2 linked regions of the Ovis aries genome follow. The protein of the gene in region 2 interacts with the protein of the main gene of each other region in a pairwise test. Links are inferred from orthologs where the notes say so. Each region holds a gene or a part of one and is shown on either strand. Other genes may lie near its edges.

Region 1 (4,540 bases), on a different chromosome or scaffold from region 2:
GGATTCCACATGCTGCAACTAAGGTCACCTGAGACCTGACAGAACCAAATAACTTAAGAAAATACTGCTTTTACTTCCATCCATCCCCCTCCGCACCCCCGCCCTGTCTTCAGCTGTGATGCTTTTGAGCAGCTCTGTCCTGTAGGGATGTTCAGTTCCCAGCTCTGCCACATAGCTACGGCATGACCTTGAGCAAGTCACTTAACCTCCCTGAACCTCATTCCCATTCCTGTCCCTTGAGACCTCATTCCTTAGAGATGTCAGGGAGACATGGGCAACAACGGGCTGCGTAGGTCTGACTTGAGTCAGGGACTCTGAGAAGGCATCCCAGTGTCCAGGGAAAGACTACAAGAGGAGGCAGAGCCTCGGATGACGAGTGGGGTTCAGGCCGGCAGAGAGAGGAGTCAGGAAGAGGCACAGCAGACAAAGGTCAGGAGTGAAGAACCCTTATAAGAGGGCAGTCCTTGGAGGAGCAGTAGGAGCTATTTGGGGGAGAGGGGGTGGCAGGAAAGTCAGGGGAACATTTTGGCCTGCTCCTGAAGAGGGTGGGGAGCCAGTGATGGTTCTGGAATATCTGAGGGCTTAAGGGGAGGTGGGTCAACCAACCAAAGGTTCCAATGACAGCTGTCCCCAAGGAGGTGCTGAGCTGGAATGCTTGGGACGGGGGAGGATGGACTCCTCACCTGAGCACCTTGTGCGTGATGTCATCAACCGTGATCCCGCTATACGTCAGGTCCTCGTTCCACACAGGATTCAGCGTGTTCCTCTGAGTCTTAGTTTTTAGTTTATTGGCCTTAGGTGAGGGGATGAAGGATTCACATTATGTGTCCTCCAGACCCACAGAGGCTGCAGAAGGTTGGGAATCCACAAGCTGGGGGGACTAGGGGAGGGGAGAGACCAGCCAGTACCTTGCAGGCTCCAGGCAGCAGGTGCAGCTTGACATAGGGGTCGGCCAGGCCATTGAAATCCATGGGCTTGAGGCCCTGGGGAGGACCAGAGGGAAGACAGCTGTGAGCTCCAGGCCTGCCAACCCACCTAACCTCTCCCTGTCTGTCTGTCTACAGTGTGGACACTTAGGGGCTGGAGAGAAGGAGAAGAAACTAGGCCTGGGGAAGGGGAGGGAGTGGAGAAGGGAAAGGCTACTCCAGTATTCTGACCTGGAGAATTCCATAGACTTTAGAGTCCATGGGGTGCAAAGAGTCCAGTGGAGAGAAGGGAGAATGGAAACCCACCCCTCTCAGGATAGAAGGCCAGCAGGGGGAGGCAGGGAGCACCCACCTTAGCCCTGAGGATACTACAGTGCAGAGTGCAGGAAGCCTGGTCGTAGAGAAGGTCAAACTCCAGGGAGCCCAGGGCAGCTGGAGGAAGAGAAGGAAGAGCTCACCTGAGTGAGCGCACAAAGACAAGGTGTGTGTGAGGCGGGCGGGCGGCCCCGCTGTGTGCCAGCTGTGAAGGTGTGTACGTATCTGCGGCTGTCAGCCCGCGAGCCTGTGCACGTCTGGGTCCCTGGCTGGGCTGCAACTGGGGCTGTGTGGGTGGTTGAGTGTCTCAGCAGAAATATTGAATATTGAGCCTCGCTGAAGCTGTAATCTCCACTCCGACTGCAGCTGTGGCAGCAGTGCCCGCCGCCTCCCCACCCCCAGCAGAGCCCAGGCCCTTCCCACCAGCCTGGAGGCCCCCAGGAGTGCCCTGGACCCTTCAAGCCCCCAGACTCACTGGTATCATCCGAGTCGTAGCTGTCCACCTCGGCTCCCTCCTCAGGCGTGGTGGCCCCAAGGAGGGCCGCCGGGGGGGCCAGGGCCAGGGGGGCCAGATGAGCAGGGGCCTCTCCGAAGCCCCCGCCACCCACTTCGAGGCCAGGTCCCCGGCGGGGGAAGTAGTCGGAGATCTGGCGGATGGGCCGGATGGGCCCGGGGCACACGTTGATGGCCATGTGCTCCTGGATGTTGATGGCCATGCGGTCGCCCCTGCGGCCCCTCATGAAGCACCCCTAGCTTGGGGAGGGAGAGAGCGTCAGCCCTGGGCTGGATGAGTCCTCAAACCTCCCGTCTGCTGGCTGAGGGCCAGGCGGCAACCACCGGGGTCTGAGGGCCCTCACTGGCCTCCCTTCCTGGGCACTGAGGGAGAAGGCAGCCTGTGCCAGCCCAGGGACAGGCAGGAGGCCTGGGCCCTCCAGACCGTGAGCTGTGCTCGCCCCGGGGCCAGTCTGGCAGCCACTCCCTGAAGAGAGGTCCTGGCTCCAGCACAGCCTTGCCCACCTACCTCTAGACTGTCCCCTTTCTCGTCCCAGCTCCTGCCCCTCATTCTGGGCTTCTGTCTGCTCTGGGCCCTGCCGACCCCTCAAGCGGCCCTCGTAGGGCCCCTCCTCTCCCTCTCTGAGGCTCTGGCCATCCTTCTGCACCAGGCGCTGGTCTGGTCTGGGTGTCACCCGCCCCTTAGGTTCCCACTTCCCACAGTCCCTTCATTCAACCTCAGGGTCTGCCTGCTGGCTGGTCCTCCACCCCCTGCGGCCCAAGGTGGGGACCCCCACCTCAGATGCTTCCTCCTGAGATCGGATCTCCAGCGGAGCCAGGAATTGCAGCCTCCGGAGAGCCGAACACCCCTCGGAGGCACACACAGGCTGACACACACACGCTCACCCTCACCCTCTCGTCCCCGGGAAACCAGCCCCCAGCACCTATCTGTGCGCCTCCAACAGGTGCCCAAGCACTGGGGGGCCAGCGGGTGCGGGCTGGGCGGTGGCGGCCGGCGATTCCCAGGGCGGCCGGCGAGAAGAGCGCCGAGTCCGGCAGCCTGAGCCGAGCGGGAGGGAGAGCCGGAGAAAGTGCGGGGAGGAGGGGGTGAGCGAGGTGGAGGCTAGGAGGCAGCCGGCGCGGGCGGCGGGCGGCGGGGAGGGGCGGCCGGAGGCTGGGGAGGGGGCGGGACTCTCCCGCCGGCGCCCGCCCCGGCACACTTAAGGAACGCACCCGGGTGCACACACATTCACGGGCAGGCTGGCACACGCATCTTGCACGGACACTCCCGCGCACACGTCTGTGCCCACGTGCGCACGCTCACAGTCGTGCATAAACCCAGACACGCGCTGGCACAATTATCCCGGAGAACTTAGCAGACACACGCTTGCAAACACACGGACAACCTGCGCCACCAGGAACCCTCAGCGAGAATAGCCCGGTGTTCCCCAACTCCTCCCTGGAGACTCGAGCCCCCGCGCCCAGCCCGCGGAGCCTCGCTCCGCCGCTCACTGCTGGCTTCTGTCCTGGGTCTCCAGGGCAGACCACCGGCCTAGTTGCCATGGCGACGCCGGATCATCCTACCCACCCCCCCACCACCGCACCTCTCCAGTCCTCACGCCCCTCCCCTGCGGAGGAGGGGGGAGGGTGTCTAGCCTCCCCTATCAATATCCGTAGGGGCGGGGCCTGTGGGGCGGGGCTTAGAGAACCGCAATGACCCAGGAGCGGGCTGGGGAAGGGGATCTGATCTGCCTGCGGTCACTGGTTTGCGATCTCGCGTCCCGGCCCCCGGCTGAGAAACCTCAGAGTTTGAGGCCCGAGGCTGTGGCTCCTCACGCTTCCATCCTTTGACTGGTCAGGCTTCTTTCCTTGGACCCAACCCAGCTCCCGAGGATCCATGTCCGCTTCTTAGGGCTGGCGTCTCCTTTGGGAATCCACTTCCTCTCACCTTCCCACTTGCAGTCGGACCCTCAGGTGCAACGGAGCACAGGGCTTCGTTCTAAATGCCCCAGAGCCCTGGAGGCCTTCCTTCTCCTCTCCTCTCGCCTGAGCCCAGCACCCACCTGTCAGTCTAACTCCAGTCTTTGATCTTGGCTCTCTTCTTTCCCAAACTTGCCAGCCCCCAATGACAAAGTCCCCACAGTGACCTTCAAGGCTCTTCAGCCTAAGACTGTGACTTCTCCCATCTCATCCCCCTTACTCATCTTGCTGGCTTTCAGGAACATTACTTGCAGTTCCTAGAACATACCTGGGTCTCTCAGTCAGGCAGAACTTTGTTCACCCAAGTTCCTCAGCCTGGAAGATCTTTCCTTTTTTCAGAGGGCATCTTGGACCCCCTCTTCCTAAGACACATCCCCCACACCCCCAGCTCAGCCCCCAGCTTCCTGAGCTCTTACAGCCTCAGCTGTGGTGATGCTGGCATGTCATGCCTGTTTACATTTCTGTCTCCACCACCACTGAGAAACAGAGGCTGTCCCAAGCTGGGCCTGGCACTAGGTTGTCAACATTAACTATTGTGATTTTAGATTGTGTAGCAATGTGAATATATTTAGTATTGCTGAATCTGGTGCTTGAAAATGGCTAAGATTTTGAATTGGCCATAAAGTTCATCTTTTTTCTGTAACATTTTAAGGAAAAACTTGAATGAACTTTTTGGCCAACCCAGCATAACTATTCATATATGGATTTTTACCACCCTCCCTTTTTTTTTTTTTTTTTTTGCTGCACTGTGTGGCATGCAGGACCTTAGTTGCCCAACCAAACTCGTGCCCTCTGCAGTGGGACCATGGAGCCTTACCACTGGACTT
Region 2 (4,305 bases):
AGAATACCGCATTCAGCTGCCATTTCCTTCTACAGGGGATCTTCCCAACCCAGGGATGGAACTCAGGTCTCCTGTGTTGCAGTCAGACTCTTTACCGACTGAGCTACGAGGGAGCACTTAAAGATCACTCACTACGTACCAGACATCACCACTCTAAGTACTTTATCCACTTAAATTCACTACATCCTGGTCCTGGCTCTGAGGCCTGGGATGAGCAGACACATGCCTGCTCTGAGCATGAATCCCAGATTCACTGTTCATGGTGGTGAGCCTAAGCAAGTTATGTGACCTCTCTAAAAAACAGCTTTCCCAGTTCATAAAAGGGCCACATAACCCTTCTCACTGGGCTGCTGAGAGGATAAAACGGATAATAAACATGAAATGATTAGAACACCACAAAGTAAAGACTAGTTGCCTTCTCAGGTGGCTTGGCAGTAACAAATCCGACTGCCGATGCAGGAGACACAGATGCAGGTTCAACCCCTGGATGAAGGAGGATCCCCTGGAGGAGGGCATGGCAACCCACTCCAGTAGCCTTGCCTGGGAAATCCCACGGACAGAAGAGCCTGGAGGGCTACAATCCATGGGGGCGACAATAGTCAGAAATAACTTAGCGACTAAACACCACCAACAACAAATAAATGCTAGTTGTACGAGATCTCAAGGATTGAACAAGCCAAAATTAAACCATCATCCTAATCCATCAGGATGTAGATGAGGCCTCTTGGACTCATCTATGTAGGAAAGACCCATCAGTGCAGGAAGGAATATGTCCTATTTAAACACTTCGGAGAGCGAATGTGACAGTCTGAAGAATTCAGTTAAGTATTTCTTCCCTTAATTAAGCAATTTAGGTCCTGAATGCTGGCCTCATTTTAGAAAAGGCAAATGCTGGGGGCTGTTCTAATTCTGCAGCTTCGACCCACAGATTTCCAACCCCTATCTCCCCTTCTTAAGGACAGCTATGCACATCCATCACACAGCAGGACCTGACTTGCAGTTTCCAAGCCTGGCACACCCCTGCAAAGCTCAGAGCATCTCCTCCCTGTAACTCTGGCATCAGGAAATGGAGCCCCAGTGATTGGAACTCAGTGTGAGGCAGAACTGTAAGTCCATTTTATGGCCTTCCAACCATAGGGTACACCAACCTGTCCCAGCAGGTTAGGTGGAATGATAAAATCAGGAATAAGCTTTGATAAGAGATTATAGTCAAGTCAGTAAGAATAAAGGTTTGCCCAGAGGCCAAGTAAGGGAAACCTAGAGCTATCATGTTAAAAAAAAAAAAAAAAAAAGGAAGGAAAAAAAACCCACACTTTAATCAAGTTGGCCCTTTCTGATAAAGTTTGCCTAACTCCCTGTGCAGGTGATGTCATTCAAAGAAGCAAGGATCCCAGGCCTTGCGTCCCGGCCTAAGAAATCTGCATGCGAGGAATAAAGGGGGAAGAAGGACCTGACCACCCGACCTTGGCTTCCTCCCAGTCAGAGGTCCAGACTTGGGTGGCCAGCCTCCGAAGTCTCCTAGGGCCACTGCCAACCTTGCCCTGGCGACCAGGCCTCTTACCAGCAGGCTGCCGGGCTCGCCACCTGCGCGCTCTCAGCTCTGCCCTACCCCACCCTCCAGGAGGAAAAGGGATGAGAGAGGACGCACCCACCCCCCCTTACTCTCAGGCACCCACAGACTCCTGCGCTGCCGTCACCACTGACGAGAACCCAGGTCCCCTGGGGGCACTGCTTCCCCTTCTCATTCCAACCTCCCCATCAATGAACACGCAGCAACCGCTACGCTCCCGCTGCTCCTACTCTGGAGGAAGACAGAACCCAGAACGACATCCGGAGCCGAAAGCCGCAGTGGTGGGAGCGCCGGGTTCCCGGCCCCGCCGTCCGTCCCTGCCCTCTCCCGGTCAGCAGTGGATCCTCCAGCCAGGCCGGCGTTCGGGATCCAGAGGGTGCCCGAAGCCTCTGTGGGGCCCCGCCTCCCCCGGGGACTCGGCGCTAGAGACCTCAGGGAGCCCGGGGAGAGAACGGCTTAGCAACACCCGCGGAGGCCTGGCGCCTGCCACAGTCCCGGGGACTCGAACCCGGTGCCCTTGCCCGTAGGCATCCCGCGCCCTGGGACACGCCTCATCGTAGGCATGCCCAGCTAGCCCCTGGCCCAGCGCTCGGGCGCATCGCCCTCCCCTGCACCCTCCTCCCGGAGGAGCCGAGTCCCGGGCCGCCCGCGCGCCCAGCCTGCCCCCAACAGGTCGTGGGCAGCGGGGAGCGCGCCTCCCGCCGGGCAAGGGAGGCGAGCCGGAGCGAAGCCGAGGGCTGGCCGCGTGGGGCGGGAGGGGTCGCCGGGGCAGCGAGCTCGGCCACTTACGCGCGGGCTCTGGGGAACCCCATGGACAGCAGCACGTCCAGCGCCGATCCATGCTTGATGGTCCCGGGGCGCTGCTGGCGGTTCCTCCGCGGGGTGACTTTGCTGTACAGCTCCTCTCTCGCAGCCATGCCGAGCGGGCTGGGGTGGCCGTACTGAGCCATGCTCAGCGGCCAGCCATCTCCCGGGAAGGCACCCGAGCCGGAGGGCCCTGGAGGGCGGAGGGCCGGCCCGGGGCAGGGGAGGGGGGCTTGGGGATCCGGAGCCGGGCGCAGGCGGAGGCGCAGGCGGCGCTCGGAGGTTCCCTGGTGTCGAGACTGACGCTTCCTGGTGAGGCCACCGGAGCCAAAACTGCGAGCCGCTTTCTGCCCGGCCGGCCGGCCGCCACTCGGGCCCCGGGTGCCCCCTGCTCGGCGCCCGCAGCAGCCCTCTCTCCTCCGCCCCCTTCCTTCTGCGCTCCCAGCAGTCCGGGAATTTGCAATGAGTAATTTTTGAATGGATCAAAAAGGAAAAGGAGCTTTGTGGGCCGGCTCTGCCTCGCCTGTACCCGGGCCCCGCCCCTCTCTTAAAGCGGCAGCGCGGCCCGTGACTGCTCCCGGCTGGGCGCAGGCTGTAAAAGTCCAGGTGCTTCTGGGCAGAGAATTGGAACCAGCACTGCCTGTGTACACTGGTTCAGGGGAGTCACTTCCAGCGCTCTAGCTTCTCCATGGCTTCCATCCGGAGCCAGTGGGGCCTCAAGACGCCAGATCAACCCATTTCAAGTTTCCTGTGGTTCTGGATGGGGTTATTAGTGGAAATTGGGCAAACTGATGGACGACATGAATGGACCAGAAGGCCAAGTCATAGCATCCAGATAAAAGGTTTTGCTTCCTAGAGACGGTGCAAGACCCAGAGAATTGTTAATAGCAGCTGGAGACCAAGTTCCCATCAGCTGGCCAAGGAATCACGCTGAAGACCTTTTGTGTTCTCCATGATGGACCATGGGATTTCCCAGGCAAGAATACAGAAGTGGGTTGCCATTTCCTTTTCCAGGCTATTTTCCCAACCCAGGGATCGAACCAAGGTCTCCCGCGTTGCAGGCAGATTCTTAACAATTTGAGCTACAAGGGAGGGATAAAACTGCAGACAGAAGAGGAAGGGGAAGATGAAAGGAGGAAGAAGGAGGCGAGGAAGGAAGTGGGATGTGAAGGAGGGTGGGGGAGCAGGAACTGAGAAAGAACACTTTGTAATTGTAAGAGGTGTTCGGCACCGAATGGGTTGATTTTCAATAGCGAATGAGCACCCTGTCAGTAAAAGCATTCTAAGACAGACCGCTTCATCACTGCTCAGTGGTGACAAGTAAGTTGCATCATAGGTTTGCCCAAACTACTCCTACCTCAAAGAAGGTGGAAGTCCTAGCCACCCCTCTTTCCCCACAGCGCCACAACTTGTGAGCTGGTCATCAGCCGTCACGAGAGCTGGTCTTAGAGATATTAAAGCTTGGGGGGAAGGCTGATGACCAGCTCTCAAGTTGTGGAGCTGTGGGGAGAGCTGATGACCAGCCCCCATGAACTTGGCTTGGGGATATTAAAGCTGTTTCATTCAGAGACACATTTATGGTCCTCAGTTAGCTAGGGGGACCCTGCTCAGTGTAATGGAAAAGGCACAGAGTAACCCTCAGTTCAGTTCAGTCCAGTCTCTCAGTCGTGTTCAACTCTTTGTGACCCCATGAATTGCAGCACGCCAGGCCTCCCTAATATCACCAACTCCCGGAGTTCACCCAAACTCATGTCCAAACTCATCGAGTCAGTGATAGCTGCTCTTTTTCAGGTAATGATTATATTACCACCTAACATTTGTTTATTAGGCTCTTGTATGTGTCAATCACTATGTTCAGGATGATAAATGAATTAATTCATTTAATTTTTATGACCCTATGGTGTGTGTATAATTATTATCCCAGTTTACAT

What was found.
Region 1: the proteins of UBASH3B (region 2) and DOC2A interact in binary tests that used the Homo sapiens proteins (3 or more experiments, as listed by UniProt). The link is inferred for Ovis aries from reciprocal best matches to the Homo sapiens genes UBASH3B and DOC2A.

Annotation. Positions count from the first base shown.
Region 1 is NC_056077.1:26,766,992-26,771,531, reverse strand, and holds the start of DOC2A (double C2-like domain-containing protein alpha), read right to left. Parts: upstream 2,829-4,540; 5' UTR 1,982-2,828; coding exon 1,717-1,981; intron 1,359-1,716; coding exon 1,279-1,358; intron 984-1,278; coding exon 909-983; intron 794-908; coding exon 684-793; intron 1-683. UniProt on the Homo sapiens protein: Calcium sensor which most probably regulates fusion of vesicles with membranes. Binds calcium and phospholipids. May be involved in calcium dependent neurotransmitter release through the interaction with UNC13A.
Region 2 is NC_056068.1:33,037,344-33,041,648, reverse strand, and holds the start of UBASH3B (ubiquitin-associated and SH3 domain-containing protein B), read right to left. Parts: upstream 2,839-4,305; 5' UTR 2,521-2,838; coding exon 2,360-2,520; intron 1-2,359. UniProt on the Homo sapiens protein: Interferes with CBL-mediated down-regulation and degradation of receptor-type tyrosine kinases. Promotes accumulation of activated target receptors, such as T-cell receptors and EGFR, on the cell surface.